4 linked regions of the Coturnix japonica genome follow. The protein of the gene in region 2 interacts with the protein of the main gene of each other region in a pairwise test. Links are inferred from orthologs where the notes say so. Each region holds a gene or a part of one and is shown on either strand. Other genes may lie near its edges. The genes, in order: KPNA5, NUP50, KPNA1 and KPNA6.

What was found.
Region 1: the proteins of NUP50 (region 2) and KPNA5 interact in binary tests that used the Homo sapiens proteins (3 or more experiments, as listed by UniProt). The two-hybrid records come from large-scale screens. The link is inferred for Coturnix japonica from reciprocal best matches to the Homo sapiens genes NUP50 and KPNA5.
Region 3: the proteins of NUP50 (region 2) and KPNA1 interact in binary tests that used the Homo sapiens proteins (3 or more experiments, as listed by UniProt). The two-hybrid records come from large-scale screens. The link is inferred for Coturnix japonica from reciprocal best matches to the Homo sapiens genes NUP50 and KPNA1.
Region 4: the proteins of NUP50 (region 2) and KPNA6 interact in binary tests that used the Homo sapiens proteins (3 or more experiments, as listed by UniProt). The two-hybrid records come from large-scale screens. The link is inferred for Coturnix japonica from reciprocal best matches to the Homo sapiens genes NUP50 and KPNA6.

What each region holds. Positions count from the first base shown.
Region 1 is NC_029518.1:57,978,569-57,985,197, forward strand, and holds part of KPNA5 (importin subunit alpha-6), read right to left. Parts: intron 6,000-6,629; coding exon 5,866-5,999; intron 4,007-5,865; coding exon 3,905-4,006; intron 3,826-3,904; coding exon 3,726-3,825; intron 2,975-3,725; coding exon 2,880-2,974; intron 778-2,879; coding exon 646-777; intron 1-645. UniProt on the Homo sapiens protein: Functions in nuclear protein import as an adapter protein for nuclear receptor KPNB1. Binds specifically and directly to substrates containing either a simple or bipartite NLS motif.
Region 2 is NC_029516.1:64,559,201-64,566,569, forward strand, and holds the start of NUP50 (nuclear pore complex protein Nup50), read left to right. Parts: upstream 1-2,983; 5' UTR 2,984-3,296; intron 3,297-3,797; exon of another isoform or gene 3,798-4,182; intron 4,183-6,024; 5' UTR 6,025-6,034; coding exon 6,035-6,103; intron 6,104-6,783; coding exon 6,784-6,867; intron 6,868-7,369. UniProt on the Homo sapiens protein: Component of the nuclear pore complex that has a direct role in nuclear protein import. Actively displaces NLSs from importin-alpha, and facilitates disassembly of the importin-alpha:beta-cargo complex and importin recycling.
Region 3 is NC_029516.1:69,222,328-69,229,574, forward strand, and holds the start of KPNA1 (importin subunit alpha-5), read right to left. Parts: upstream 5,796-7,247; 5' UTR 5,742-5,795; coding exon 5,633-5,741; intron 1-5,632. UniProt on the Homo sapiens protein: Functions in nuclear protein import as an adapter protein for nuclear receptor KPNB1. Binds specifically and directly to substrates containing either a simple or bipartite NLS motif.
Region 4 is NC_029538.1:4,553,564-4,560,822, reverse strand, and holds the start of KPNA6 (importin subunit alpha-7), read left to right. Parts: upstream 1-2,369; 5' UTR 2,370-2,524; coding exon 2,525-2,672; intron 2,673-4,600; exon of another isoform or gene 4,601-4,783; coding exon of another isoform or gene 4,784-4,847; intron 4,848-5,060; coding exon 5,061-5,194; intron 5,195-5,919; coding exon 5,920-6,015; intron 6,016-6,291; coding exon 6,292-6,391; intron 6,392-6,664; coding exon 6,665-6,759; intron 6,760-6,907; coding exon 6,908-7,039; intron 7,040-7,255; coding exon 7,256-7,259. Other genes in the region: TSSK3 (testis-specific serine/threonine-protein kinase 3), read right to left, coding at 88-232. UniProt on the Homo sapiens protein: Functions in nuclear protein import as an adapter protein for nuclear receptor KPNB1. Binds specifically and directly to substrates containing either a simple or bipartite NLS motif.

The sequences.
Region 1 (6,629 bases), on a different chromosome or scaffold from region 2:
AAAAATGAAAGCATCCAAGTGAATTTACACATGCCTGCAAATCAGATAATCTACATATCTGTACAGATAATCCACATATTCTTACAGCAAACACTCTGGAATCCAAAAAAATCACAGCACAATCCTGAATATAACATTTCAGAAGACCAATGATTTATATTCTGAATTTTCTGTGAAATACACAAAGTCAACTACCTATTATAGAAAGATAAAAATAAAAGAAAAACTAACAACAAAAATAACAAATTCAGGAAGACACTGATGAAAACTGCAGTAAGAAGGATCTAAGAAATAAAGCTGCATTGTAAGCTAGGAAAAAGAAAATTACATTTTGTTTTCCACTATGTTATGTTGTTTGAGACTCTGTCCACCAGTACACAGCACAAAGGAAATGAGGTGCTTTTCCTCACATTAGTTAAGAATATTAAAAAAAACCACAACAGGCTCACAAGGACTTGGAAAAATTGGAAGAGGCTGGGGAATCATAAGGGAAATAAAACACTTTTCCTGGAGTCAAATCAGTGGTATAACAGGTCAATGGGACTTCAGATCTTTTTATCTGAATTAAAATAAAAATGCTGGAGAGGAGGGAAGACGTTCCTAAATGAATTTTATAGTTATAAGACACTGCAAGAAAACAGTTACCTGCTCCTGTACATCTTCAAACTCTGAACTAAGCAGCTCTATGAAGATGGGAACAGCTCCGGTTTCAATTACAACTTTAGTATGTAGAAAAGTTCCAGACGCTATGTTTGTCAGAGCCCAAGCCGCTTCAAACTGTTGTGGAGGAGAAAAACAAAAAATTACCATGTTAAATAACTGAGCGGTAAAAATCAAAACAAAAACAACCAAACACCAAAATTTGTTGCAAGCAGTTTAATACAAGAGTTCCAGAGATTACTTATCCAACTTTTTTCCTTTGCACTCCAATGTAATTGTTACTATTACTGTAATTTCTGTGCCGTAAGATTATCTGTACTAACTGGTACAAATGTTTTTATGCTATGCTCAGTTATTTTAATGCAAATGTGCACAAGGCTACCAGTTACTCTTAATCGTTTTGACACTTGTTTTTCCCAAGATTACTTTCCAAGAGTTTTAGCTTTCAAGTTTTCATGTATTTTTATTTCTTTTGTAAGATTTCAACTGTAGAACAACACACTATTTCCAAGAAAAAAACAACAAACCAAAACTAAAAAAACACCCAGATTCTGCTCAGACATCTACACTGATGCTTTCAATACACCACTCAGGAAATCATCTTGAACAGAATCACAGAATCACCAAGGCTGGAAAAGACCTACAAGATCATCCAGTCCAACCTTCCACCAGTCACCAATAGTTCTCACTAAACCATGTCCCTCAACACAATGTCCAAACATTCCTTGAACACCTCCAGCTTCAGTGACTGTGGGATACTGTGGGAGACAGTGTCAAAGGCTTTGCTGAAGTCTAGGTAGACTACATCAACAGCCTTTCCCTCGTCCACCAGACGGGTCACCAGATCACAGAATCACAGAATGACCTGGGTTGGAAGGGACCTCAAGGATCATGAAGTTCCAACTCCCCTGCCTGGCAGGGCCACAATCATAGAAGGAGATCAGGTTGGTCAAGCAGGACCTGCCCTTTGTGAACCCATGCTGGCTAGGCCTGATACCCCAGTTGTCCCACACATGCTGCGTGATCTCCCTCAAGACAATCTGCTCCATAACCTTCCCTGGCACTGAGGTCAGGCTAACAGGCCTGTAGTTCCCTGGATCCTCCTTACAACCCTTCTTGTAGATGGGAGTCACATTGGCAAACTTTTCAGTCTTCTAGGACCTCACCAGTCAACAAGGAGCACTGTTAGATGATAGAAAGCAGCTCCGGCTATCACCTTCTGCCAGTTCCCTCAGCACTCTCAGCTGAATCTCATCTGACTCCGTGGACTTGCGGCAGTCCAGTTGGAGCAGCAGGTCTCTGACTGCATCCTCCTAAATTGTGAGGGGTTTTGCCTGCTCCCCAGCCAATACTACCAGGTCAGAGAGTAGAGAACCCTGAGGATAACTGGTCTGATCTTTAAAGAAGGCATTCAGAACCTCTGCCTTTTTCCTATCCTCAGTGGTCACATTCCCAGACTCATCTAGTAAAGAATGGAGGTTCTCCTTAGTCTTCTTACTGTTGATGTATGTATCTGTAAAAGAGCTTCTTGTTCCTTTTTACCCCAGCAGCCAGGTTGACTTCAAGCTGGGCTTTTACCTTTCTGATTTTCTCTCTGCACATCTTAACAAGTTCTCTATATTCTTTCTGAGTCACCTATCCCTTCCACAGTAAGCAGATTCCCTTTTTCTCCCGAAGCATCAAGAATAGCTCCCTATTCATCCATGCTGGTCTTCTTCTCCGCTGACTCATTTTGCAGCTCAGAGGAACAGCCTATTCCTGCACCCATAAGACCTCCTTCTTGAAGAGCGACCAGCTGTCTTGGACCCCTTTACTCTCTAAGATTGAATCCCAGGGGGCTCCCCCTGCTAGTCTTCTAAACAATTCACAGTCCGCCCTCCAGAAGTCCTAAGTAGCAGTTTTGCTGCTCCCTCTCCTGGCTCCACTGAGAACAGAGAACTCTACCATTTCATGGTCACAAAGGCTGCTTTCCACATCCAAATATATGACCAGCTGAATACATCACCCTAAAGACTACTAAATTCACAAGACTTGAGCTACAATTCCAGTGGCAATTGTTAAAACTTAGGATATCTAAAACTTACAGCTTTGATGGATATAATTACATTTTCATATTAAAAATAATAATATTAAATTTACAAAATCAGCATGCTTTCCAAAGCTGTTTTCAGGTTTTCTAACCCCATTCCAAACCCTAAACAAGTACCAGCCAAACTCACTTGCAGCGTGTAATTCTCACTCCTCTCGAGAAATTTCACAAATCTCTGTACTACTCCTGGTTTTTGGATGACTTCATCTATGGGCGGGTTGGGCTCTGGGGGATAAAAAGAACAAAAACAATTCACATGCATAAGACTAACAAAATAAGACCACTGAAATTACTTTTTCGGTATGACACAAAACATGAGTGATTCTCAGAAAACATACATTTCTAGCCTTCAAACAGTTTAATCCCAAGAGCAGGACTTTTTTTCCTTCATAAGACTGCTGGATAATCTCATAACGTGCTGTAATTTAGTGATTGCTCTATTCTGTACAATAACACACAATTGCCTATTGGCATTTAAGCACAACACTCTTCCCTCAATCAACAGAAATACAGCTTTAAATAATCAAGTATACTCTTGTCTAGTAGACTGTACAAATAGCAGCATGAATTTAAGACGATGTTTTACATGAACAACAACAACAAAACAAAATTACACCCATTTTTGGCAAGTCATATCACTTTTATCCCCTCAAACACAGAATCAGAAAATCTATTACTGCAAGACATACTTCAAGTAATGTTAGTGTGTCACTGTCAGTTACTGCCCTGTATACTTATATCAAAATATCCTTTTCTTTGTTATTTAGTCCAGAAAACTGAACAACAGAACAATAAAACTTTTTGTATTTAGTCATTAGGTTAGAATAGACGTGGACCTGGTTTTGTTACAAACAAACTGAGAAGCTTCTGCAAGCTCTATTTTAAGGTAAAGCAAAATTCAATGTTGACCGACTCTGTTTGACTAAAATTTGTAATAATAAAATAAGAGGAAAAAGAAAAATTAATGCTTGCATACCTTTAGATAGCAGTTTTCTGAATTTCTGAGTTGCTGTGAGTTGCTGATCAGGATCATCCGAGAAAATCATCTGTACCATATCTACTGTGATAACTTCCTCCTAAAAAGAAAAGGGCAGCTTTGTAGGATTGGCACAAACACATTAACACAATATTCTAGACATATCCTAGAGTGATTACCTCAGGAATAGGTACAGTAGAGCTGACGTCGGGATCCTGAATTGGACTTTCCACCATAGATTCTTCATTTCCCGGGAGAGAAACATTTCGACGTTTAAAGAGCTGAACAAAGAAGAAATGTGGAGAAATGTGGGGGAAGTTTATCACAGAACAGGTACTGATTGTTACTTGAAGACACTGGCTTTCACCTGTACTGGCCAAAGCACTTCAACCACTCACTTTCCTGTTCATCCACACAAATGGAATTCTGCTTTAAAGTTTAAAATTTTCAGATTATGTGACCTTAAATGTTCTCTGTATCCTAAAAACATTTTGGTATTGGCTTCAAATACTATCTATGTTTAAAATACATACCTGTGCTGCGGTATTTAATACGTTATGCTTAATGAGTGGCTCCTCATTTTCTAGCATGCAAACCTAACAATCATGTTAGCCTGCTTACTTCCACAGACCAAACCTAAAGTATGTACCTTTGATTTAGTACTACACTTACAACTATAATCATTAACAATTCTATGAATAACATGCTGGTAACTTTAAAAATAAGTGTTAGAATCTCAGACCACTGAGTGTCTCAGATTTCATCAGTAATCACAATAATAAAAACTCCTGCTAAGTCCTGGAGAAAGTTTTCTTCATAAAGTTGTCTACACACATCTGCATTTCTGTGGTCACACGTGCCCAAAACCAAACAAGCAACACCAAATTTACATGTAATTATATTACAAATAGGAATCTAAAACAAAGCATTCTCTCTCCTTTGCTTGATCAAACTCTGGATTGGGCACAAACCTGGACCCTAACAATTGCACAGTCCTGAATCAATGTTCCTCTTTTAGGAAATCAGCCATTCTTCCTAGCACTCAACAATGCCATACAGGATCTTGTAAAAACGTAAATGACAAAAATGTAAACCGTTTCTGTCCAGGAAGACAGTCTATCTATGATTTATAATTTCTTCTGGAGCAAAAACAGTCTCACTTCCCTACACAAACTTGATCCAAACAGTGCTAAAGGAGCTGAAAACACCAGTCAATTATGGCCAAAATATTCTCAACAACATTCAGTGCGGCAAACAATGTTTTTCTTTTTGTTTTAATAAATAATTTGCCTACGGAGCATTTATTACAAAATACACAGAACTTTCAGCAGGAGCTGCAATTCAGATCAACTCAATCACAGGTAAACGCTCCTGCAGCATACTTCTTCTTACTCTTACCTCTCTGGCCCAACTAATATAAATTCTTTTTCCATGCAGTAGCACCACTCTCTCAGGAGAAGGGTAAACATTCCCACCTCACAGGAGACTGTAGATCAGTGCCTGGGATTCACTAGGTGGTGGGAGACAAAAGTCAGCCCCTTTAGAGTAAGAAGAACAAGCTATATTCCTCAATTTCCAGGCAATGAACTACCAAATATTCTGGGAAAAGGAATTACCACCAACCATGAAATTACACATGAAATCACTAAAAAATAAAAATCAATAAAGACAACTTAAGTTAAAATATATGTAAATTCATGTTTACAGATCACTGTTTGTTGGCCACTTCACTAGGCTATGGTAGAAAAACTCTTGGGCAATCTGAAGTACATCCCTCTCACTTCTAATAGTGCATCTCTGGCTCAAACTTTAGAAGAGAATGAAGGTTTTCCCATTCTTACCAGAAATAAGGTTAGCCTTTCAGCTCAGTCTTCAGCTCACATGTTGAAAATGAGACTAAGGACTAGATTTAAGAAACACAGGTCTCTACTTCAAATGCCACAGTGACTTACAGTGCTTCTGTTCACCTTTTTGATTTATAATCCTACTGAGAGGTGCCTGGTGCTTCCCAAGACTGCATAGAAAACAGACTTAATTTGGTGCTCTGGCTTGTACTTCACAGAAGGAATCTGCTCAGGTTCTTTTACATATCTGAATTAGGCTGCATGAACACTTAACAGCAGCTTATCAAGATGCTTACTTGTTCTTCCCTTTTCTGTTTCCGAAGCTGGATTCCTTCCTCTTCTCTTCGTCTGCGCATTTCTTGAGGATTAAGTGCATTATTTTTGTAGCTTTTCATTCTGAAGTTATCTTTCCCTGGGCTTGACATGATGTCTATTAAAAAAAAAGAAAGAAAGAAAAAAAGAAAAAATAAAAGAATTACTCCAAAACGTCAGAGCTTGAAAGGCAAACCTACCATCTCTCATACTAGAAAAGTATCTAAAGCAACAGCTATATACTCCAGTAGCTGCTGGCAATACCCAGTTCATGAACAAAAATCTCCAAGAGAGAAATAAGAGAAAAATCTTTGCCTACACAGGCATTTCTGAATTGCACATTAAAGCACAGGTCACTTCAGAGATCAGGCACCTCATTAAGGGGCATAAGCAACAAGTTACTGATCTTATGAGCAAAATGAGACAATAAAAGCAAAACCACCAGGTTGCTCAATTTTGACCTAATGGAAGGAACAATTGTCTGCCACCATCAGCAAGTACAGGAATTTGTTTCTTCCCTCAAATCAAATCCCAGAAGAAAACCTGCTGTAATTACTGCTCGATTTAATGCCTCACTGCATAGAATAGGTTCTTCATTATTTTTTTATACCTTTTTAACCACAAAAACACAAAACTAAAGGCTATGCTAAATTTCCTTTTAATTTTAATACAGAAAAACTCTACATGAAAAAAAAGTATAAATGGCTAACAGGATCCAGACAAGTATTCCCTTGCAATTTAAAATAAT
Region 2 (7,369 bases):
AGCTTTGGGATGATGTCATCTATGTAACTCCCTTTTTCTACCAGCCCTGCTATGGCTGTGTGTTCTGGCGGGCAAAGAAGCAGCTAAGTTGTGCTGTTACACAAAATAACACAAGATAAAAACCATCCAATATTTGGTGAGGTCAGACGATGAATATATTGAGTGTCCTGTCCTGCAGCCCACAGCACATTCAAGTTATGCCTGCAAGATGAGCAGGGGTCAGCAGAACCGGTGCTTCTCGCTTCGGAGCATAACTTCCCACCTTAGGTTGGGGCTGCCTTTTTCTAAGAACATCCAAAAGACTTCAGACCTCTGCTCCACTGGCTCCAATGAGAGGATCTCCGAGGATGGGTGATGGGAGGTGCTTGCAGGACAGTGCACTGTTGTTGGCTTCACGTGTATGCAAAGGCTTGACCACATGGCCTTGTTGCAGGTGCTGCAGCCATTTATCAAAGACTTCACAGTGCCCTTTGTGAACCTTAAGAGGCAACCCTGGCAGTGGTGCTTGGAAGGCACCCACTGCGTGGCAGAGCACAGCTCAGGGAGACTGGGAGGCCAACACTGACCTCTCAGTTGGCTACTGAAAGAAAATAGAAATAAAAAAAGGAAAAAAAAAAACAACACATATAATATATAATATATATATATATATAATGTGTGATATAATTTGTTCAGAACTCAATATACACTCTATGGGACATGCTGTGTAGGTTAGCAGTGATGGAACATGGACTATGCACTCACCTGTCTGAGGCTCAGGATGACAGCACAGTCTGAGACTGTGTTGTGCTTTAACCAAGCAGGCAGCTCAGCATCACTCAGCAGCACTTCTCAGCAGTTATCAACATTATTGATAGGATTCCCACTATAAGGATGTCTTGCTTCTTTACTGCAATCTGCATTTATAATATTTATAGCATTGTTATTTGCAGCAATTTTGATTATTATGTTTGGTATATGTGCCAAATCCAAGCTAATCAGTGCATTAATTCACTAAGCGTGCATGGTGTCCCTGAATCTGAGCTGCATCCAGGTAGGGCGAAAGAAAATTCAGACATATAGGATAACACTTGGTCTTAATTCATGCAAACATGATTTGGACCTTGAATCGAGTGACTATATATTTATGGGGTGAATAACATGGGACTTGCACATAAGGGGTTAAAAATGCTGGTGCCTGCTTATCTCTTGTGTAAACCTTGGGGATGGAAATCTGCAAGGTTGGCATAAAAAGCAGCCAAAAGTGGGAGTCTTGCAGTGGAAGGACAGTTCTCTTTTGGCTAAATGTTTCAAGAAAAAGCAGATATACAGCTTCAGCAAAAAATCTCTAAGGCTGCAAAACCCAGAGTTATGCATTTACTGTGAAATTTAATATTAAAATGAACACCTCTGAGTATGCTTATAAGCTCTAAGAACAACATGCTGAACGTATATGACTATTTACTTGACTGTCCACTCAAATCATGTTAAACATCACCATCTTCAGAGATCCTCTCGGTCTCTTGTAAGGGAAGTATCTTTAGGGGGAAGATCAGGGCAGAGAAGAGGGGAAGAGAAAGGAAGGGAGACTGGAGGAGAGAAAAGAGATGAGATAAGAGATGGGACACCTCTTAGTAAGTACTGAGCATCACATCTTGGTGAAGAATACCCAGGGTAGCACTTATTTTGCCAGCACTATCATCATACATTAGCACTATTGCATCTATCAGTGGCAATTCCAAACTTGTTGCATGTGTCACTTCATTAAATCACCTATTTTTTGATGTGAATATGCCCAATGAAAAGAGAACTTGCCTATAGAAGGAAGCAATTTTTGTGTTCTGGGGGCTAAGCAAGGCAAACAACATGAAGGTCAGGGAAAAAAACCTTCACACTTAGAGAGAGAGGTCCGGGAACAAAGATCTGAACTCAGTTTTGCATGTGTATATTTTGAATATACTCAATATACCATAGAATTATTGGATGGCCTGGATTAAAAAGGACCTCAGAGATCACCTTGTTTCAACCCCCCTGATACATGCAGGGTGTCCAGCCACCAGACCAGGCTGCCCAGAGCCACATCCAGCCTGGCCTTGAATGCCCCCAGGGATGGGGCAGCCACAACATCCTTGGGCAACCTGTTCCAGTGCATCACCACCCTCTGTATTGTGGAACAGACCTCTGCTTCAGGAATCTTAAGGGTGCCTGACAAAAAAAATCAGCGTAATCTAGTGGGAGAGTTTTCATCTTTTTTTTTTTTTCCTCTTCCAAGTATTGAATTTGTAATAGAATAGTATGTTCTAAGAGCTTTCATTCGCTGTTACTCTTTCCTCTTAAGGTTATACGGTCGCTATACATGATGCAAACTCGTTTGGAGACACTGCCGTCAAGGCTATAGGGGCAGGCTGTTACTTCATTCTGGACTTAATCCCCATCGCTATCATACCACAAGTTATAGGTCAGCCAAGCAAACTGCTGCCGCTCCAAGCCGGACCTGAGTGCAGCGAGCCGTGACTCAGCGGAGCTACACCCAGCCGGGCAATGCAGGGCAGTGCAGGCAATGTAGGGCAGCTGGGCCCCGAGTCATCACAGTATATACACACAGTATCACAGTCTGGTGCGGGTTGGAAGGGACCTTAGAGATCATCGAGTCCAACCCCCGGGATTCGAGCCCCTGTGTAGCAGAGCGGCACTTCTACCACTTGCGCCACAGGGGGGGATTCGAACCCGTGTCTCCAGTGTTGCATAGTGGCGTCCTTAACCACTGCGCCACCGTGGCACACTAATGCCATGAGGCGCCGGCTCCCCCTCAGAGCAGCACCGCTCCGCTGCCGCCACCGGCCCCGGCAGCAGGAAGAGCGCGGCTACGTCACGTGACGAGCAATTCGAACGAGCGGCGCGAGACGCCGACCACGCGCAGGAGCGGTCAGCCTCCCGCGAGAAGCGTCGCAGCGAGGCCTCCCATTGGGCCGCGGAGGTCACGTGTCTCGCATCCCAACGGCTGGCGGCGGGGTAGCGGCCTGCTCCGCCTCCTCCGTCCCTCGAGCTGCGGCCGCGGGGCGGGCTGCGCATGCGCGGTGGGTGCGACCGCCGGGCCGGTGTTTCGTGTGGTTCCGAAGGCTCAGGGCGGCACGAAATGGCGGCCTGACGGCGGGCTGCCACACTGCGGGAAGGCACAGCGGGCGGCTGAGGGCCCCGGCGGGGGATGGTGACGGGGCTCCGGAGCCGGGCAACCAGCGAACGCGCTCTGCTCGCCAACCGAAGCTTCGGCCCCGCGGCGAACGACAGTCATCGGGCCGGGCCGCCGGGCCGCGCGGGTGAGTGGCAGTTCCTCCCCTCCTCCCCTCCCGTCTTTTCATAGTATCACAGTATCACAGTCTGGTGCGGGTTGGAAGGGACCTTAGAGACCATCGAGTCCAACCCCCGGGATTCGAGCCTCTGTGTAGCAGAGCGGCACTTCTACCACTTGCGCCACAGGGGGGATTCGAACCCAGGGGCTCCGGTGTTGCAAAGTGGCGTCCTTAACCACTTGAGCCACCGGGGCACAGCTCTGTCGCGGCGCTGCGGCAGGGTGAGGCTGAGGCTGCGGGGGCCGTTGCCGGTGGGCTGGCGCCTGCCCGCTGCGGCTCCGGCCGGCCCTGAAGGCCCCGCCGCGTGGGAGCCTCCCCTCGGGGAGGGTCTGCGGGCGGGGAGAGGGGTGGCCCTGTTGTGGTCGTGTCACCCCGATAAGAGGCCGGCGGATTAAAAAGCAGATCGGCGTCGGTAGCGGGAGTAAGGCCGGGTAGCCAGCTCGCCCTGTAAGGTGTGCGGGCAACGGGTAGGCTCGCGACTTTAAAGGGCGGGTGGCGTTTAGAGGAACTGCGCTGGCAGATGGCAGGAATACGTTGCGCTGCACAGGAACACAGGGCTTTAATCACCGTGAAGAACCGACGGTGTTCTGCGAGACTGCTGCTATAGGCGTTTACAGAGGAAACGACGAGACAGAAGGCGTGTTGAAACAGCACGCTGTTTGAGGAAGCCTGGCTCAGCTGCCCCGTGCCCTGTGATTTCCGGACCTGATGGAAGGCGGCGGCAGCTTCCCACTTAAGAGCAGGGCTGCAAAAAGCTCCATAATGCTGGTCGTGCAGCCCCACTTTAGCTGGCTTAAGGCTCCTGAGCACTGCTGGGGTGACGGTGCCTTCTGTAGCTCCCGCTACTGAGCTTGTAAGTTGTGACAGTGCCGATTTTTTAACCCCCTTTGTAGAAGTTAGATTGTGAAATGTAAGAGAAGTTCTTGTAATACAGCCTTAACTCAGTGGGTCGTAGTAGCTCAACAAAGCACGTGTTGAGCTTCTTAAATAAAAAGCTGTTTCTCATAATTCTCCCATCTAAACCTGCGCTTGTGACAGAAAACTGCCAAAGGTTGTGGCTGCATCTAAAAAGTAACATAGAGCTCGTTTTGTATTGCTTCCTGTTTCACAGCTTAGAAATGCCTAGAATCCTCTTGCTGCTGTCTTCATATAGGTTAGATTCTCTTGTCAGCTCCTATTTTCAGACGTGACCTAGAGAAATCACACAGAATCACACTGATCACAGAATGACTTGGGTTGGAAGGGACCTCAAGGATCATGTAGTTCCAACCCCCCTGCCTGGCAGGGTCACCAAACATACACATTTACTAGATCAGGTTGCCCAGGGCCCCGTCCAACCTGGTCTTGAACACCTCCAAGGACGGGGCATCCACAACCTCCCTGGGCAGCCTGTTCCAGGGCCTAACCACTCTCCTAGTGAAGAACTTCCCCCTAACACCCAACCTAAATCTTCTCTCTTTTAACTTAAAACCATTTCCCCGTATCCTGCTATTATCAGCCCTTTCGAAGAGTTTACTCCCCTCCTGGGTGTAAGTTCCCTTCAGGTATTGAAAGGCTGCAATGATCATGTGAAGACAAGTAGGTATAAAGAACCTGGAGCCTGAGCCAATTAGTTTCCCACTTTTTCCTCATAGTGGAGAACAGGCTTTCTGTTTAATATAGCGCTTGTAATGCTTCAGTGGCTGTCATTAGGACTGGTAATGTGATCTTGTGTGGAATCTGATGGAGTAACTCTAGGTTAGTCTCATGAGCTTTTGAGCTGTGGTCGCTGCCAATGAAATGCAATCTCGCCTTCCTCTGCTGGTAAGTGTTTGTGTGCCCTTGTGGGAAGCTGCACTGGGGAGACAATTGTAAAATAAGTATTTTTAGTTATTTTTCATTGGGTTAATTTAACCAGTTCCCTCGTCTGCAGAGAATCATGTAGTACATGGTAGGACCTCTTTCTTTTCCCCAGCAAAGTGGGGCTTATGCCATTTTAAAGCATTTACGTAGAACAGCTTTTTGCTTCCGCCCTTCTAAAAGATCCTAATAAGTTGCCTTGTGAAATTCATGGCTCTCAGTCACAACCTCTGTAAGTTGTCTCATTTATTTGCAATAGAATTTGTCAGTATTCTAATAGTAATGTCCTAGCAATCTGGTTCTTTGTAGGAGGGTATTGTTTTCATCCTTACCCAAAGTGAACTGGCTTTAGTCAGTCATTATCAGTATATTGATTATAGGTGCTGGCAAGAAACTTTTCTCTTGCAAAGCTGTTAGGTTTTACCAGCTATCCTGAAGGAAGACGGACTGGGATATGTAATCTTTTAGCTAGATCCTTTTATATGTGTTCGTTGTTTTTTTTCAGCCCATCAGCCTAATTGGTGACAAGGGATGGAATACAGGACTGAAAGGAATTTTTCTAGCTTGCTCCACTGCTGAAGAAAAATAACTTTGTGACTGAACTGCATATTTCTGTTGTTGCTTGATTTTAGTATCAAGTACGGCTAATAACCACAATCCCAGTTTCATGTGCTGTGTTGATTGTTGTTGCAACAAATGTTAAAAAACACTTTGTTTCCAAATGTTGTTCTAATTTTGACTTAGTTCTTTGTGAACTCTGATTCCAGTTACTTGTTCTGAATAACAGAAGTTGAAGATTCCCTTCTTAGAATGACCGGGCAATTAAATCTCTGCATTTCTGATCTTTTTTCTACAGGTGTGGAAAAATGGCAAAGAGAATTGCAGAAAAGGAACTGACCGACAGAAACTGGGATCAAGAAGACGAAGCTGAGGAGGTAAAACTATAGATTAGATTCACACAGAATCACAGAATTGTAGGGGTTGGAAGGGACCTCTAGAGATCATCGAGTCCAACCCCCCTGCCAAAGCAGGTTCCCTACACCACATCACACTGGTAGGCGTCCAGGCGGGTCTTGAATATCTCCAGAGAAGGAGACTCCATCACCTCCCTGGGCAGCCTGTTCCAGTGCTCCCTCACCCTCACTTCAGCACATTTAGCACATTAGCTGCCTTTACCACTACTTGAACTGTGGAACATATCTCAATATACCTTCTCTGAACTGGATATGGTTTGTAACAGTGTAGCTGTTACTGATAGAGTACCTTCAGCAAAGTTAGTTTCCTTGTTGACTTGCTTGCCATAGTAAACAGCAATTGAATTGCTTGCAATAGTAAAATTGAGATTGCAGTCTGTATAAAGGGAAATTAAATGCAGAACAGGAAGAACGGAGCTGTGAAATATTAGCTAATCATATCCAAGCACCTGGCAAGCTAATAGTAGAACTGTAATGTTCTTCATTTTTATTTTTATTTCTAATTTCTTCTCTTACTTGTTAATGAGAATTGTTACAGTTCTGTTCAAAAAGTATCTCAGGGTTTCAGTCATCTCATCAGGCTATGACAAATCAGTGTATTCTGAGAGTTACACTAATAATTCCATGTCTTTATCTCAAAGGTGGGAACCTTCTCAGTGGCTAGCGAGGAAGTCCTGAAGAACAGAGCTATTAAAAAAGCAAAGCGTCAGAATGTTGCATCAGAGGTAATGTAATCACTGAACTTTAGTATCATAGTTCCAGTCAGTTGCAAAAAATGACATCTGTGTTCAAATCTTTCCTTATTTTGGCTTGTAACAATTCTGGATAAAGCCATCATTTTAAAGGTATTTGCGACTAGCCAACTGCTCCACTTCCAATCCTAGCAGAGCTGGAGCCTGGAAATCTAGCCTGGAAGCCACTAATTATCATGTTGGAGGGCTCGGGGATGTCCAAGGCAGTAAAAGCCAAGTTATTAAGTTGGTCTAAGAGTGAAATAAATGTGTTCTGTTTAAAAACAGTAGTACTTTTTCCCCTGGAAGACCTTCAGTGTGTGATATACATTTGGCAATAATAAATGGAATGTAGAAGGGAAATTGGCCTTTCTTAGAGATTTAGTTCCTGTGAAAGTATTAACTGTTCTAACCAAAGTTTAGTCCTTTCAGAAATCCTTGACAGATGCTTTGTTGTACATCTTTCTGTGAAACTTTCTTTCAAGATTGCTTGTCT
Region 3 (7,247 bases), about 4.7 Mb from region 2:
ACAAGATTAGCAGACTGACACCTCACTGCCACACCTCCTGTTGTCTGAAAAACTGACTCAACCAGATGAATCTGCTGAGGTTCTATCCGCTTCTTTTGCGTATTTATTGGAACCCAGAGGCATGTGGGAATGCTCATCAGTAAAAATACAGGTATTACTCAAGGGACAAGGGTGTCTTCTAACTTCCAAAATCAGAAAATTTCTTTAAAACTCAGGACATGTAGAAGATGAAAGGGTATTTAAAGCCACAAAAAGCTATTCTTTATGTACTACACGGCCAATTTCTAAAGCCTTAGCTTAACTTTCTCCAGCTATAAAATGGAATTGCAAAACAAGTCTGAAGCACTATAAAGTTAACAGTATTTGTAAAGACCTGCAAAATAAGTTCTGCCGACGGCATTTCAAAACCTAGTGCTAACACAGAAGTGAAATGCTCATGTGAATTGAATCTCCTATGGCTTGGGAAAGCTGCAGCAGCAGACAGGAAGGCTGCTGAGTGTAGAGAAGGACAGACCTCAGCTCCTGAAGAACAGCAGGGACACACATTCCAGCAGATATCACAGAGGAACGATGGAGAAGAAACAGAGGAAATATCTTCAGAGAAGGTTTAAAGCTCCTGTAATCTAAGAGAATGTAACATTCATAGTTAACCATGGAAGGAATACACAGCCTTGCCACAGGGTCCCAAATCTTGGGAGTCCGCTGTGAAAAAACTGAAGTAGCACAGAGATTTATGCAGGGAATTGCCGTGCATCTCTATCTTTCAGATCTGCTTTATTAAGTACCTATTAATCTCTCCATGATCAGGCCTTAATTCGCTGCTGCTTCTGTCCTATCTTATAAACCCTTAAGACAGCCAACTATGTACTAACTGACTTCATTTATAGCAAACGCGGTGTGTTTTGCCTCTTTGGCCACTCAGCAAGTTGGGTTGCTGCCTATCCAAAATGAGGGCAACCTTAACGTTTAAGACAATTAATGCAAGGCACGGTATATCTAGTATTTCACAATACATTTACCACCACTACAATATTTCTGACTTTTTATGTTCCGTTTTGACTTGATGGGGCAGCAGAGAGAGCTTTAAAAGTTCTGGAAAGCTTGAGAAAGACAGCAAAAATCCTAATTCTCAAAGTCAGGGGAACTTAAAAGTTAAACAAAAAAAGTCCACAATTCATTAACTGAGCCTTTCTGAACTGAATAACAAACACAGGATTCCTCTGCTGCGTACAAAGTCATTGCAGTGCAAACAAATCTGTTTAAATGAACGCTGATTTCTATAACCCCGTAGTCCACAATTAACTTGAAACCAAACAGTTCCCACAAGCCACAGAACAAAGGAACTGGTGATGGGGAATTAAGTTTTTAAACACATAGGATTATAATACCCTTAAAAAAATAAAACTTCATGCTAACAGGCCCCTCGACATGAAATAACCAAAGTGATTATTCCTATGGGCCGAACTAAAACATCGTGTTTTTCTTGTAAAGCAGAGATTCCTCCCTGTACTAAGAGAACCAGCTGACCCACAGAGTATTTTCCATACAGTTATACCTAAAAATTGGGCCATCTGAGATAACAAGTCATCTGCATCACTTGATGGTCATCATCTGCCATAAAAAAGCTGTCCCAATATTACCAATGTGTCCTGAACATTCTTTGCTAGAGAACAAGTGTGGTGCTTTCAACATTCCATTGCATGGGGATAGGAAATCCCACATATTTTAAAACCAAATTAAAAGCAGACTAAATTAAGTTCAATTTGTAGTTTAAAGCAATTTCCACGTGGAGTTGTGAATGGCTGAAGACACTGAAATGAAATTTATGTCCTCAACACCTTCAACAAAAGGACTGGCTGCAGTGACTCAGCATTATGAATGGTATGAAATGTGCCCAAAACTCTTCCAGGCAATTGGACTTCAACAGCACAAAGTAACAGCAAGCCCAAGTTATGAAGAACATATCTGAGCTTCGGACATTGGCAACTGGAAGAGTTGTGTAATATTAACATACCAGCCACAGCAAACCAAAGCCCTAGGAACTTTGGGGCTGGACAACACAGGCTCTGCCTGATGGATGCCCTCGGCACCCAGCATCCCTCCAACTGCAGCCTAACCATAGTGCCCTACCTCTAACAACCCTCTGCTAAATCATATCCCTGAGCACCACATCCAAACGGCTCTTAATCACATCCAGGGATGGCGATTCAACCACCTCCCTGAGGAGCCTATTCCAGTACTTAACTACCCTTTATCCCATTTGAAAGCTGCTTCTATGTCACTGAAGTCCATTTACTCCTGCGTTACACAAATGGATTAACAGAAGCAGAAATGCTAGGACTTATCCAACACTACTTCCTATCGCTTTTTCACACACACCTCCTCCTCGTAACATCCTTTTTAAACCTGAAATTTCTGGGGAAGGGAAATTTACTCTTCATCATCTACTTTATGCTCTATTCTTTCTCCTCATAATGAATTACCAAACGCGCACAATGCTTAATAGAGTTCAAGAAATGTATAACGTGACTTCCAGTCCTTCTGTTCCACAGCCTCTATATTTACCTGAGGCTTCCACCAAGAGTTTTCCTTAAGCTTATCTTTGCTGCTTTCACAGAGTTCCCCCCTACCTTCTCCAAAATAATTCAAAAGCATCAATATTTCCATGGGCCTCAAATCCGGCTGCTTGTGTTTCCTTTTGAGAAAACCCCATATTTTACCTGGATATAAAATAAAGCAATTTAACCCATTACTTGCTTAGCAGACTCCAAAAGTCTTAACAGATCGTGAATGTTTTGGAAGGGGTTTTTTTTTTGCCTTTTCGTTGTTGTTTGTTTTAAGCTTAAGAGCAGAAGAAAATACCTTACTTTCATATCAGCACCACTTATCTCTGAAATTTATACTGGCTTTTTCTTACCCGTTATCGTATTATTTAAACAAGGACTTCTACTTAACCCCTCACTATTGAAGCTGAATAATTCTCTTACCAGTTCAGCTTGTGCTCTGGCCTTTCTATGAGGACTTCTCCAGAAGTAATGCTTCCTATTTTATTATGCTGATTCTCAACCAAGAAGGCAGATGTTGGTGGCATGGCAGTAAAGGTTTGAACCTTCCCACCAACATTCCCTTCCATGCTGTAGCTGCACAACAGATGGCAGCAGAGGGGCAGCCTGACAAAATGGCATCTGACATGGAAGTGTGTATGAAGCAAAGGTGTTTAGTGTACTCTTATGTGAGCAAAAAGTGCCACTCACTGACATTCATCAACACTTGCTGAACGTTTATGAAGACCAAACAGTGGGTGTGAGCACAGTGAGGCAGTGGGTGGTGCATTTTACTAGTGGTGACAGCAGTTCACTGCCACTGGGGAAGATTTTGATGTGTGAAGCATGCAGGCTCTTGTTCACCATTGGCAAAAATGCATAGCTAGTTATGGTGACTACATCAAAAAACACTATTTTGTACCTGACAATTTGCTTTATCAAGACTGTTACTGTATCCTCCTGTAGCTTCTGTGAAAATAAATAGGGGGCATTACTTTCAGAGCAACCCATGTAGCTTGTTTGTCTATTACATCATTCCAGAATCTCCTGTGTAGGGTTTAGAGATACAAAATCTCACCATACTTCACCAAGTGTGTAATTCTTTCAATACCAGATAAAAGCAGTCTAAAACCAAAATACCACTCAGCCTATCTCACTCAACTGGACAAAAAGAGAAGGGATAAAAAGCACTGTTGCATCGTGCTGAAACACTGAAGTGATGATAAGATTGTCAATCTGGTTAAATAAACATTTACCAACTAAGAGCCTTTCAGAAACTGTCACACCACCAGAAACCTGTACAACTACTTGTTTCACAAGTGCCTGAGGAAAGTGGTGCTGAAATGGGCCACTGCTGCCTCTCCCTTCCTGAGCTGCACATTCCCCAGTAAGCGGCAATGAGCTCAATGCACAGGACCACCTGGACCACCTTTTATTCTTCGAAAGGGCTGATAATAGCAGGACTAGGGGAAATGGATCCAAGTTGAAGGAGGGAAGATTTAGGTTGGATGTTAGGGGGAAGTTCTTTACTGGGAGAGTGGTTAGGCCCTGGAACAGGCTGCCCAGGGAGGTTGTGGATGCCCCATCCTTGGAGGTGTTCAAGGCCAGGTTGGACGGGGCCCTGGGCAACCTGATCTAGTAAATGTGTATGTTTGGTGGCCCTGCCAGGCAGGGGGGTTGGAACCACATGATCCTTGAGGTCCCTTCCAACCTGGGTCATTCTGTGACAGGCCAAGTCTGACCACATCAACACAGAAGGCAAAACATCAGAAAAACACAATGGATGGCACACTGAGGGCAAAAATGAACATTCCAGTACAGAATTGCAATTAGGGAGCAGAGATGACAAAGGAACTGTTTAGAAGCATAAGAGGGGGGGAAGCTGGGGGGAGGGAGGGGTTGTTAAAGCTCCAACAACAGTCATGTTCTCCTGAGCTGAAGCACCACTGGATCTTTATGGGAATAAAAAACAACACAGGTCCCCATTCTGAGGACAACCTTCCACATTGAGGTATGTTGCCAGCTCTCACAAGCTGCTCCTAATTTTGTCTGTGCCTATGGGCACATCTCCATGTAATTAAAAGGTGCGGGTGTAGTTCAAGCTGAAGTCAATTTGTTTTGAACTATCTAGTTCACATCAGCGCGATGCAGTAAGTTAGCGGGAAGAGCAACAGAATAAAAACACACAGCAAAGATTAGTTTGAGTCAAACTATTCATTGCTACAGTCTATCAGTACAAACAAGATAGCTTCCATATACCTAGCTTCTAGCTATAACGTTGCAATCCCATCTCCGGATAGCCCACAGGCATAACCAAACTGAAGTTAGTAAGCAGTTAGAGTAGAATATGTGCCAGAGAACGAAAAACTCCAGAGAAACAGAAGCTCCGATCAAACCGAATAAAGAGAAACAAGCACTTGGGAGCAGAAGGAGCAGCTCAGGATTTCCACAGCTCATGACACATCTCTCAGCCCGAAGTTTCAGTTTTCATTAAACGCCCTCAAGAGGCAAAGCTTCAAACCATCCCCTCACATGTGTTTCAGTAGGAGGGAACAAACGCAAAGACTATGAATGGGGCGAGTTCCTGCCGGCTGGAAGACAACCGGCAATTGCGAGGGCCCACAGCACAGCACGCAAGAAAGCAAAGAGTAGCTGGGATAACTTAAGACGGGTTTGCAGCAAGAAGGAACAGCTTTAGCTGAACTAGATAGAAATCGCCACCTCGAAGAACGACGGGCTTCAAAACAAGCGAGGAAGTTTCCGTGCGGCTCAGCCCGTGCCCCGCCTCCATCCCCACGCCGCTCAGTTCCCACAGCCGAGCTCGGCCGCTACGCACTCGGATCCCAGCGCTCCGCCGGCCCCCGCCGGGCCACGCGGTGAGGCCGCCCCGGTGCCTCCCGGCCGCTCTGCCCGAGGCCGCAGCCACCGGCCCGACCCACCCGCTGGGCCGCCGCCCGCTGCCCGCCTCGTGCCGGCGGCTCCGGCCATACGCACGCCGCAGACCGGGCCGCGGCGCTCCCCGGCGCGGCCCCGCTCGGCACCCGGCTGCCGCTCCCCTCCTCCCGGTAGCGGCCTCTTTCCCCCCGTACCTGCGGGCCCGGCCCAGCCCCGCGCTGTCTCCTCTCGGGCCCGAGGCGCGCGAGCGCCGCTCCCTGCCTCCCCGTCCGGCCGGCGCTGGCAGCCGATGGCACTGCGCATGTGCCCGGCTCCATGCGTCAATTCCGGCCCGACCGCGGCGCCCTGTGGGTCGGGGAGCGATTCCGGCACGGAGCGCGCAACGGGACTAGGCCGCGCAGCCGCAGATGAGTCAGTGCGTGATGTGTGTGGTGGGATGGGAGCTGTAGTGCAGTGAGTGGCAGTGGGTTGTAATACGTGTGTATAGCAAAATACGTATGACATGTATCACAGAATTATCAAGGTTGGAAAAGACCTAGAAGATCATCCAGTCCAACCATTACCAATACTTCCCAGCTAAATCATATTCATCAACGCAACATCCAAACGTTTCTTGAACACTCCCATGGTCGGTGACTCCACCACCCTCCTGGGCAGTGCATTGCAATGCCTGACTACCCTTTCTGAGAAGTAATACTTCCTAATGTCCAGCCTGAATATCCCCTGGCACAGCTTAAAACCATTCCCTCTAGTTCTATCATTGATTACACAAGAGAAGAGACCAACCCCCAGCTCACTACAACCCCCCTTCATGAAGTTATAGAGAGCAATAAGGTCTCCCCTGAGCCTCCTCTTCTCCAGGCTGAACAAGACATGTACATGCATATATATTTTTACATGAATATGTACTTATGCATATTGATAGCACAGTGAAAAAGTCACTGACAACACTGAAGAAGCTGCCGTGGGTAAAGGCTGAGGTATGGTTGTGAACTTGAGGGTGAGTGTAAGTGACAAACACAGCAGTGATAATGTCACGATTGGGTGAAATATGGATTCACACATATTCCTGCTGGCCCTGCTTTTACCCGGTGCAGTGGGATGGTATGAAATGGTACCACAATAACACAGCCCTTTCTATAAAAAGGCCACGGAGCCAGACTGCTAACCATATTTAGCGCTACTAAATCACAATTGGCACAGGCAAGCTTTGGTTGTCACCTACTGACATTTTGTTCAGCCTAAAAATGAAAACACAGTTGCCTGCACTGTTTCAGACTCTCAGAGCCAGCAGCGTCTCACAGATCAGAACAAAGAAAGATAAGCCAAAGCGAGGCACTTGTTGCAATTTGGGTTCTCAGAGCTGCCACCACAAAAGGAAGAAGGTGGTGTCTCACCGAGGAGAAGCACTGATATTTCAGCAACCAGAGGGAAGGAAGCAAGGATGCTGGCTCAGTTCCTCTGTCCACACCTTTTATGGGTGGCAAATCCATTGACATTGTTTGCACCCACCGCTGAGGTGACAGTGAAAGCAGGGGATGCAGTGATGGCTGGAACAACCGCAGGTTGATAGGGACACCAGGAGGAGACGAAACATAAAGGATGAGAGCGGCAGGAAATGAAAACAGGGCTCTGGAAAATGCTTTGCTATTTTCTTCTTAATGCCTGGGGCAGAGGACATGGTCTATCCTGCCTCTCTTGCATCCTCTCCACTAAGTATCTCTCCAGTAGTGATAGTGTTAACAAATACAGTGGAAGAAACAGCTCTGAAAGCTGAGCTGCTCAGTCACATGCACAGGTTTTATTTTT
Region 4 (7,259 bases), on a different chromosome or scaffold from region 2:
AAGTTTGGGAAACTCATTTTCTGCCTGGAACTAAAAGCTTCCAAGGAGGGGTCGGTACCTGGGAGCTCTTCAGGGGCAACTTCTTACCTTCTGGACTCGCCCTTTTATCAATGATTTTAATTGCTACTTTCTTCTGGTGCTTTTGGGAAAAGGCCTCCTTCACCTTGGAGTACGTTCCCTCCCCAATGGTTTGGCCGAGCTGGTATCCGCTGGCGAGCAAAAACTCCTCCATGTCCTCTCACAAATCGGGGCCGTTCAATCTCAGTTTTACCCCCAGCAACTCGACAACAGCATCGCAGCAGCCAGGGGCTCCCCGTGCTCCCTGTTGGCACGTGTAGAGCCACCAGGCCCTGCTCCTGCCCTGGTGGGAAGGGGCATCGAGGCGCCTGTTGTAGCATGGGCGTGTTATTGTGATGCAGCCGATGCTGCATGAATCCCAGATGACGGAGGTGCATCAAAGTGGGCGACAGCTCGGCCAGGCAGGGGGGAATTGGGCTGTGCTGGGCAGGACCTGCTCGGTGGGCACCGTGAGTACAGGGGGGTCACAGGGTCCATTCTGTTCCTCTCCCGTTTTCATCGGGGTGTGGCGGGGGGGCTTTAGGAGCTGCTGCTCACACAACACTTTGCTGCTGCAGGGAGGGGACCCCAGGCTGCGCCCATGAGCTCAGAGCTGTGCTCACACCGACCCACCGCGGCCTCACGTCTGAGCTGAGTGTGTCCAGCTGCTCCGGCGCCTGCAGCCCAACCAGGCCGGGCTCCTTCACAGCAGGAAGGTGCCGGTGCCGGGATCGCAGCCAGGCCCCGCTGCAGCTCCCAGCTGCTTCTCCCTGTGCAGAGAAAACCGGGCCGGGCCATGAGCTCCCAGGAAGCGCCGCGGGCCCGGAGGTTCCCCATCGAGGCGGGCGACTGTTGTAGTGCGGCCGCAGCTTTGGAGACACAGCAACGGGTGGGCACAGCGTGGACTGCGGGCAGGTGAGGGTCCAAAGGGGCTCCTGTGATGCTGCAGGTTGTGCTGTACTGTGCTGTACTGTACTGTGCTGTACTGTGCTGTGCTGTACTGTGCTGTACTGTACTGTACTATGCCGTACTGTGCCGTGCTGTGCCGTCCCTCTGACCCCTGTCTCCCCGCAGGCAGTTGCGGCGCTGTCCCGCCAACCACCGCCTGACGCTGCCGCACATCCCCATCAACGTGTTCATCGCCATGGGAGGGAACTGCCGGCCCCGCAGCACCTGAGCGGCCCGTGATGTTTATGCACTTTGTAAAGAAAGGCCCATCCTAACGCGATCCCCGCCTGCTGCTCCTTGTGTGTCCGGCCGTGCGGCCCAACGCGTCCCGTGGGCTCCCGGGGCCGCCGCTCCCGGCTCAGCTCGGCCCGGGACGGAGCTCGGGGCTGGGGGGTGCAATGGGGGGGGTCGTGTCGGCGCGTGGGCACGTGGCGGGACACGAGGATCCACGCGGGACCCGCGGCCGCGAGTTGAAGCCCGGCCCCGCCCCGTGACCCCGTTCGGGGCGTTGCTCTCCGCTCTCGTCCCGCCGCGGTCCCTCTCGGCCGCCGTCCGCCGCTCCCCGCCCTCCCGCTGCCGCCGCCATATTGTGGCCGCCGCCGGAACGTCCGTGTCGGGATCCGCGATGGGTGAGAGCGGCGGGACCGGGCGGGGCGGGATCGGTACGGTACGAGACGGCGGGGCTGCGGCCGTGTCCGCACTTGGCGCTGCCGGGCGCTCGGTTGGCGGCACTGACTCAGCCCGGGGCCGGCAGCCCCAGCGCGGCCGTTGGGCTCCGGGGCGGCGGCGGCCGGAGCTGCGGGAACCGCGTGTCGGTTGTGTCCGTGTGTCTGTCGGTGTCTATCCGTGTGTGTCCGTGTGTGTCCGTGTGTGTCCGTGTGTGTCTGTGTCTGTCCGTGTCCGTCGCTCTTTGGGCCGTCCCGCGGTTCCGCTCGGTGCCGTTGGCCGCTGTCGGTTCGGGTTCCGGAACCGGCTGCGTCCCGTGGGGCGGAGTTCGGCGGCGGTTCCGCTCCGTGTCCGTCCGGTCCGGTCTCCGTTCGTTGCCCCGCGGTGCCGCCGTTCCCCCGGACCGAACCCGAACCCGAACCTCACCCCGCGCTCTCGCAGCGGTTCCGGTGCCGTTCGGTCCGTCCCGGCGCGGTGTCGGTGTCCCCGCGGTGTCGGTGTCCCCGTTCCGCCGTTCCTCGTCTCGATCTTTAACTTTTCCGCTGACTTTTATCATAACCCAGCTCTAATTTCCGTTCCCGTTCCCGGTCACATTCCCGGCCCTCATTGCGCGGTGCTGCCGGCCCGGTCCCGCTCCCGGCTGCCGGGTCCCGGTGTTTAACGGGCCGTTTCCCGGCGGGTCCCGGTGGATATCGGGCCGTCTCGCTTTATTTGCTCGAGTCGAGGTGAGCAAACACGATCTTTGAGTAGCGGATCCCGCTGTCGGTGCTGCTCGTTGGCGGAGCAGCAGAATCTCCCCATCCCGAGCTGTGTTCGGCCGTTTGGAGCCGCTTTGGGGCCGGGACGCTGCAGCATGGAGCTGACACACGGAGCTGATCCTCGTTGCCGGGGGTGTCACGGACGCTCCTTGTTGGGGCTGTGTTCCATCACACATCATCGTGCTCCTGTGATGTACAGACAGGACCTAAAGCCGCCGGCTCCAGGGCAGCAGGAGCTGAAGTGTAAGTGGGTCTCACAGCCACTCCATGATGCATCTTGTGCTGCTCTGAAGCAGTTCCTGCTGCTGGGTGCAAACACTGACAGCGTGCAGGGCTTTTCACTGCAGGACTATGGAAATCACAGGGAGATGAAACAAGGAGCTCCCAGGAACCAGTTTGTGCTCCTGGCTGCTGTGTGTTGGCAGCTGGGATGGCTGCAGCTCAACTCTTGGGATGTATTTGCTGCTGCTGCCTTGGTTTGCTCTGTATTTAAGGAGCACCCATTATTTCGGCTTTGATTTCTGCAGCGTCAGCTGAAATGGCCGCGATGCTGCGGGTGCAGCTCAGGGGAATCAGGGAATCCTCCCAGGTCTGTGGCTGCTGCTGTGCAGAACCTTCATGGAACTTCAGCTTTGCTTTAAGGAGCAGCTAAAGAAAGCTGTGATGTGACATGCCTTATACCCACGGCTCAGAGCAGCCTCTGCTGCTGCTACTCAGACTTGAGGTGAGCAGGTGAAGCAGAACAGCCACGGGCAGCTCGGAGGATCATCTGCATTGGGGTGTTGAGGCTTTACACGGAAGGGCCGTGGTGAATCCCAGTGTAACTGTTTCTGTTCTACCCCTCGGTCTGACTCAGCAGCACAGTCCTGATTTAGGCATGCGAGTTCCTGCAGTGACTCAGCTGGGAGCTTTAATCAGCAGCTGAACGAGTCTTTGAAGCCAATGCTCTGTAATGCAGGGAGGTGGGAGGAACCTCATGGGCAGAGAAGTGGGGTCGGGTTTCTGATTCAGTGCTAAGGGGCCGTTATGGTGTTGGCGGGTCAGCAGTGAGCCTGGATTTACCTTATGGCCCAGTGCTGCAGTTGGTGCTGGCTCTCAGTCTGAGTCCAGCTCCCATCCAACTCCCATCCTGCTTTCTCCTTCCGTCCCGCAGGCACTAAATACATCCTCTAAATACATCCTCGTGGTGCAGTGTGTGGAAAGGAGGGATTCCTGTGAGGGAATTCTCAGCTCACAAAGCACTTGAAACCATTCCCAATATGGATTACTTTGATTAAAGCCCAGCTTTAAATGCTGTTTTTATCAGTGATGTGATCCCAGAGGTGTTGACATGCAGGACTTGTTGGCTGCAGCCCTTGTCCAGCAGTGCTGCTGTGCAGACAGGGCTGGGCTCAGGGGTTACACTTTATATATAAGCCACAAAGTGGGAACGTGTGGCTGCTGTGTGCCTTTCCCAGCGTGGCTCTGAGCGCTCTCAATAGCAGCGCAGTGCACAGCATCCCGAGCTGAGCTTGGGAGGGTTCCAGCCTGGCTGGGGGCAGCTGATAAGTCAGGTTGGATTTTGTGTGAGCAGCGTGGCTCGGCTGCTTCGAACTTAGAGCGGACACTGAGGTGGGGCCACAAACTTTTATGGGATCCTTCTTGCAGCAGCTGAGGGCAGGTGGAAGGAGATAAAGGTGCTGCTGTCCAGCTGGCTGCCAGGGAGGAGCCGTTTGGTCTCAGGGTTAATTGGCAGTTTGCTGTGGATTATCATTGCTTCCTTCCTGTGCTGTGAAGGGCGTGGAGCTGGAGTCCAGCAGCCTTTCTCATGAATGGGGGAGAGGGGAAGCTGAGTGCCCAGAACAGGGGAGTGCAGCTGGATGCAGCCGAGCAGTTGGTGTCTGCTGTGCAGGGCTGGTGCTGGGTGCTCACACTGTACCTTGTCACTGCCCTGAGGAGGAGGTAGGAGCAATGGGATCAGGTCTGCAGTTCTGCCTTAGTCAGATACGGAGCAGCAGAAGTAGGTCAGGTGCTGAACACTTGCAGTAATCTGGCAGGACAAACACAGCCTATGATACATACAGCTCATCTTTCTGCAATGTTTTTAACTGGAATTGTAAGATAAAGGCCTGTTTACTGCGCGCTCGGTTGGATCTCTGCCATGTGTGTATGTCTGTGTTTTGCTGCTCTCACAGCCTGCTCTACAGCTCTGCAGTCAGTGCAGTTACTGAGTGAGCACCTGCTTGTGCCCACAGCAGCCTGTGGTCAGTGTCTGAGTGCAGGGAAGGTGCTGAGGTGTGTGTTATGTCATGGGCATATGAGGGAAATGGTGCTGGAAGCTGAACTGGAGTTGGTTGTGTGCCTCCACACCTCCAATGTGTAACACATTGGTAACGTGCTTCAGTGCCATCAAGTTGGATCCGGGTTCCTTTCAGAACAGTGAGTCTGCTCTGCTTCCTATAAACTCAATATACTAGTCATGACAACACAGCATTGGAGCTGATGTCAGGATCTCATTCCAGTGCACAGCTTTGTACTTCAGCACCAAGCAATTGGGAGAGGCACTGCTTCACCTGTGTGTGCTGGCTCCTCTGCTTGAAGGGGACACCTGAGTGTGACCAGAATCCTGAGGGCTCTTTTTCCTCTCCACAGACAACATGGCGAGTCCTGCCAAGGACAACTATCGAATGAAGTGCTACAAAAACAAAGCCCTCAATCCTGAGGAAATGCGTCGGAGGAGAGAAGAGGAAGGAATTCAACTGCGCAAACAGAAACGAGAGCAACAGGTAACTCTCACCTTGACTAGTTTGTGTACAGCCTTAACGCAATCAAGACTGTGCTGCTGCATAACTGGAATCTTCAGGGATCTGTGCATTAAGGTTTGTTGGCAGTCCTTGTTTATCTCTGTCCTGAGATCTCTGTTCTTCTGCACATGGTACAGAACGTGGCTCACATGAAGAGCTCTTCCAGCACTTTGTCTTTGGGGTACTAAAGGTTTTTGTTCACAGATCCTTGGTTTTAATTTCAGTTGTTGGTTTTGTTGATTAGTAAATGGAGCTCCTGCTCCAAGAAGTGAGACAAGTAGGTGGAGGTGACTGCACTTACTTCTGGACTCTGAGCTGGTTTTTTTTTTGGCTTGGAAGTCTATGAAAGTGAGAGGTGATTCCCAGGTGATGCACGTGGCTCAGACTGAGCGGTTGCATCACCTACGAGCCGCCCTCTTCTTGCTTTTCCCATCTTGTAAGGCCAAATTCTGCACTTGCAAATGCCAGTGTTTCACTGAGCTGGGATTTGCGTATCTGAGGGCAAGACTCAGCATGTTTTATTGGGGTTTGTGTGCCAAGTTAGTCCTCCGTGTGCAGGGCTGTTATGAATGACTCCTTGTTTTTGATTTGGATTGCACTTAGTTCATGGCTGACGGTATCTCGTTTGAGGAGCAGGAACATCTAGTTATGACGACTGTTAAACAAACACTGCTTTCTAATAACTCCTGTGCTGTGTTCTCTGCCAGCTCTTTAAAAGAAGAAACGTGGAATTAATCAATGAAGATGCCTCCATGTTCGATAGCCTCCTTATGGATTCCTATGTCAGTTCCACGACATGTGGGGTAAGGTGCCTTTCCCTGTTGCATTTATGCCTTCAGGCTTCATGCTGTGGCCTGCATAGAACTGACAAACCTTCACCTGTTTGTTTTCCTGCTGTTGAATACGTTGCAAATGTTACTACAACCAAGTGAAGAAATGTGCCAGGATCCAAACAGTGTGTTTTAACCTCAAATAGTGCATCTTTGGATCATGAGCTAAGAACAAAACTGTGGTAGGATGTCTTGACTGTGATACCTGAAATGTGACACGGAACCACTGTTCTGTTTCCACCCTTTAAGGAGGGAGTGATCACAAGAGAGATGGTAGAGATGCTTTTCTCCGATGACCCCGATCTACAGCTGGCAACCACACAGAAATTCAGGAAGTTACTTTCTAAAGGTAAAGATAAGATCCCACCATGGGGTCTGATGTAGCCTTGTCTTTAAGTGTTCGTGTACTTGCAGTGTTGTACTGAAGCGTCGCATTTGAGGAAGGCCATAATGTAGAAACTTGCTATAAATTTGGATGAATTTTACTGAAAGCTGTTCTGGAGAGATGATGTACCACGGTACATCAGTACAGCTTGAGACCGCTCAGGTCAATAGTAGCTTGTGTGTGTTATTCACCTTTATGAGACCTGTGTACTGTTCTGACACTGCGTTGCTATTTCAGAGCCAAATCCTCCAATAGACGAAGTGATAAACACTCAAGGAGTGGTGGACAGATTTGTTGAGTTCCTGAAGAGAAGTGAAAATTGCACACTACAGGTAAAGCAGACTGTTAAACCTGTGGGTGCTATGGGAGATGGGTGATGTCTGGAACCCAATAGATGTGGACTGTGTGATGTATGGTGAAGCATGTCCTGCTGCATCTGGGTTGCTTTATTCATGCTCCTCTCATTTCTGCTTTTCTCAGTTTGAAGCAGCGTGGGCACTGACGAATATTGCATCAGGAACTTCCCAACAGACGAAAATAGTAATCGAGGCCGGGGCAGTTCCTATCTTTATAGAGCTGTTAAACTCTGACTTTGAGGACGTTCAAGAACAGGTAAGGTTCACTTCATACATTGGGGTTAGGGGAAAAAACCACTCGTGACTGAAATTCAGTGTTTAAAATGAGTGACTAGTTGGCAGCTGGCTGCAGCCCGCAAGCTGAAGAGTCTGTTTCTTGGAGTTACAGGGAAGTGCTTTCTTAGCGTACCACCTTTTTCTTCCTCTGTTCAGGAACTGTGTGAATGCTAAAACTGTTGCTATTTCCTTTCAGGCTG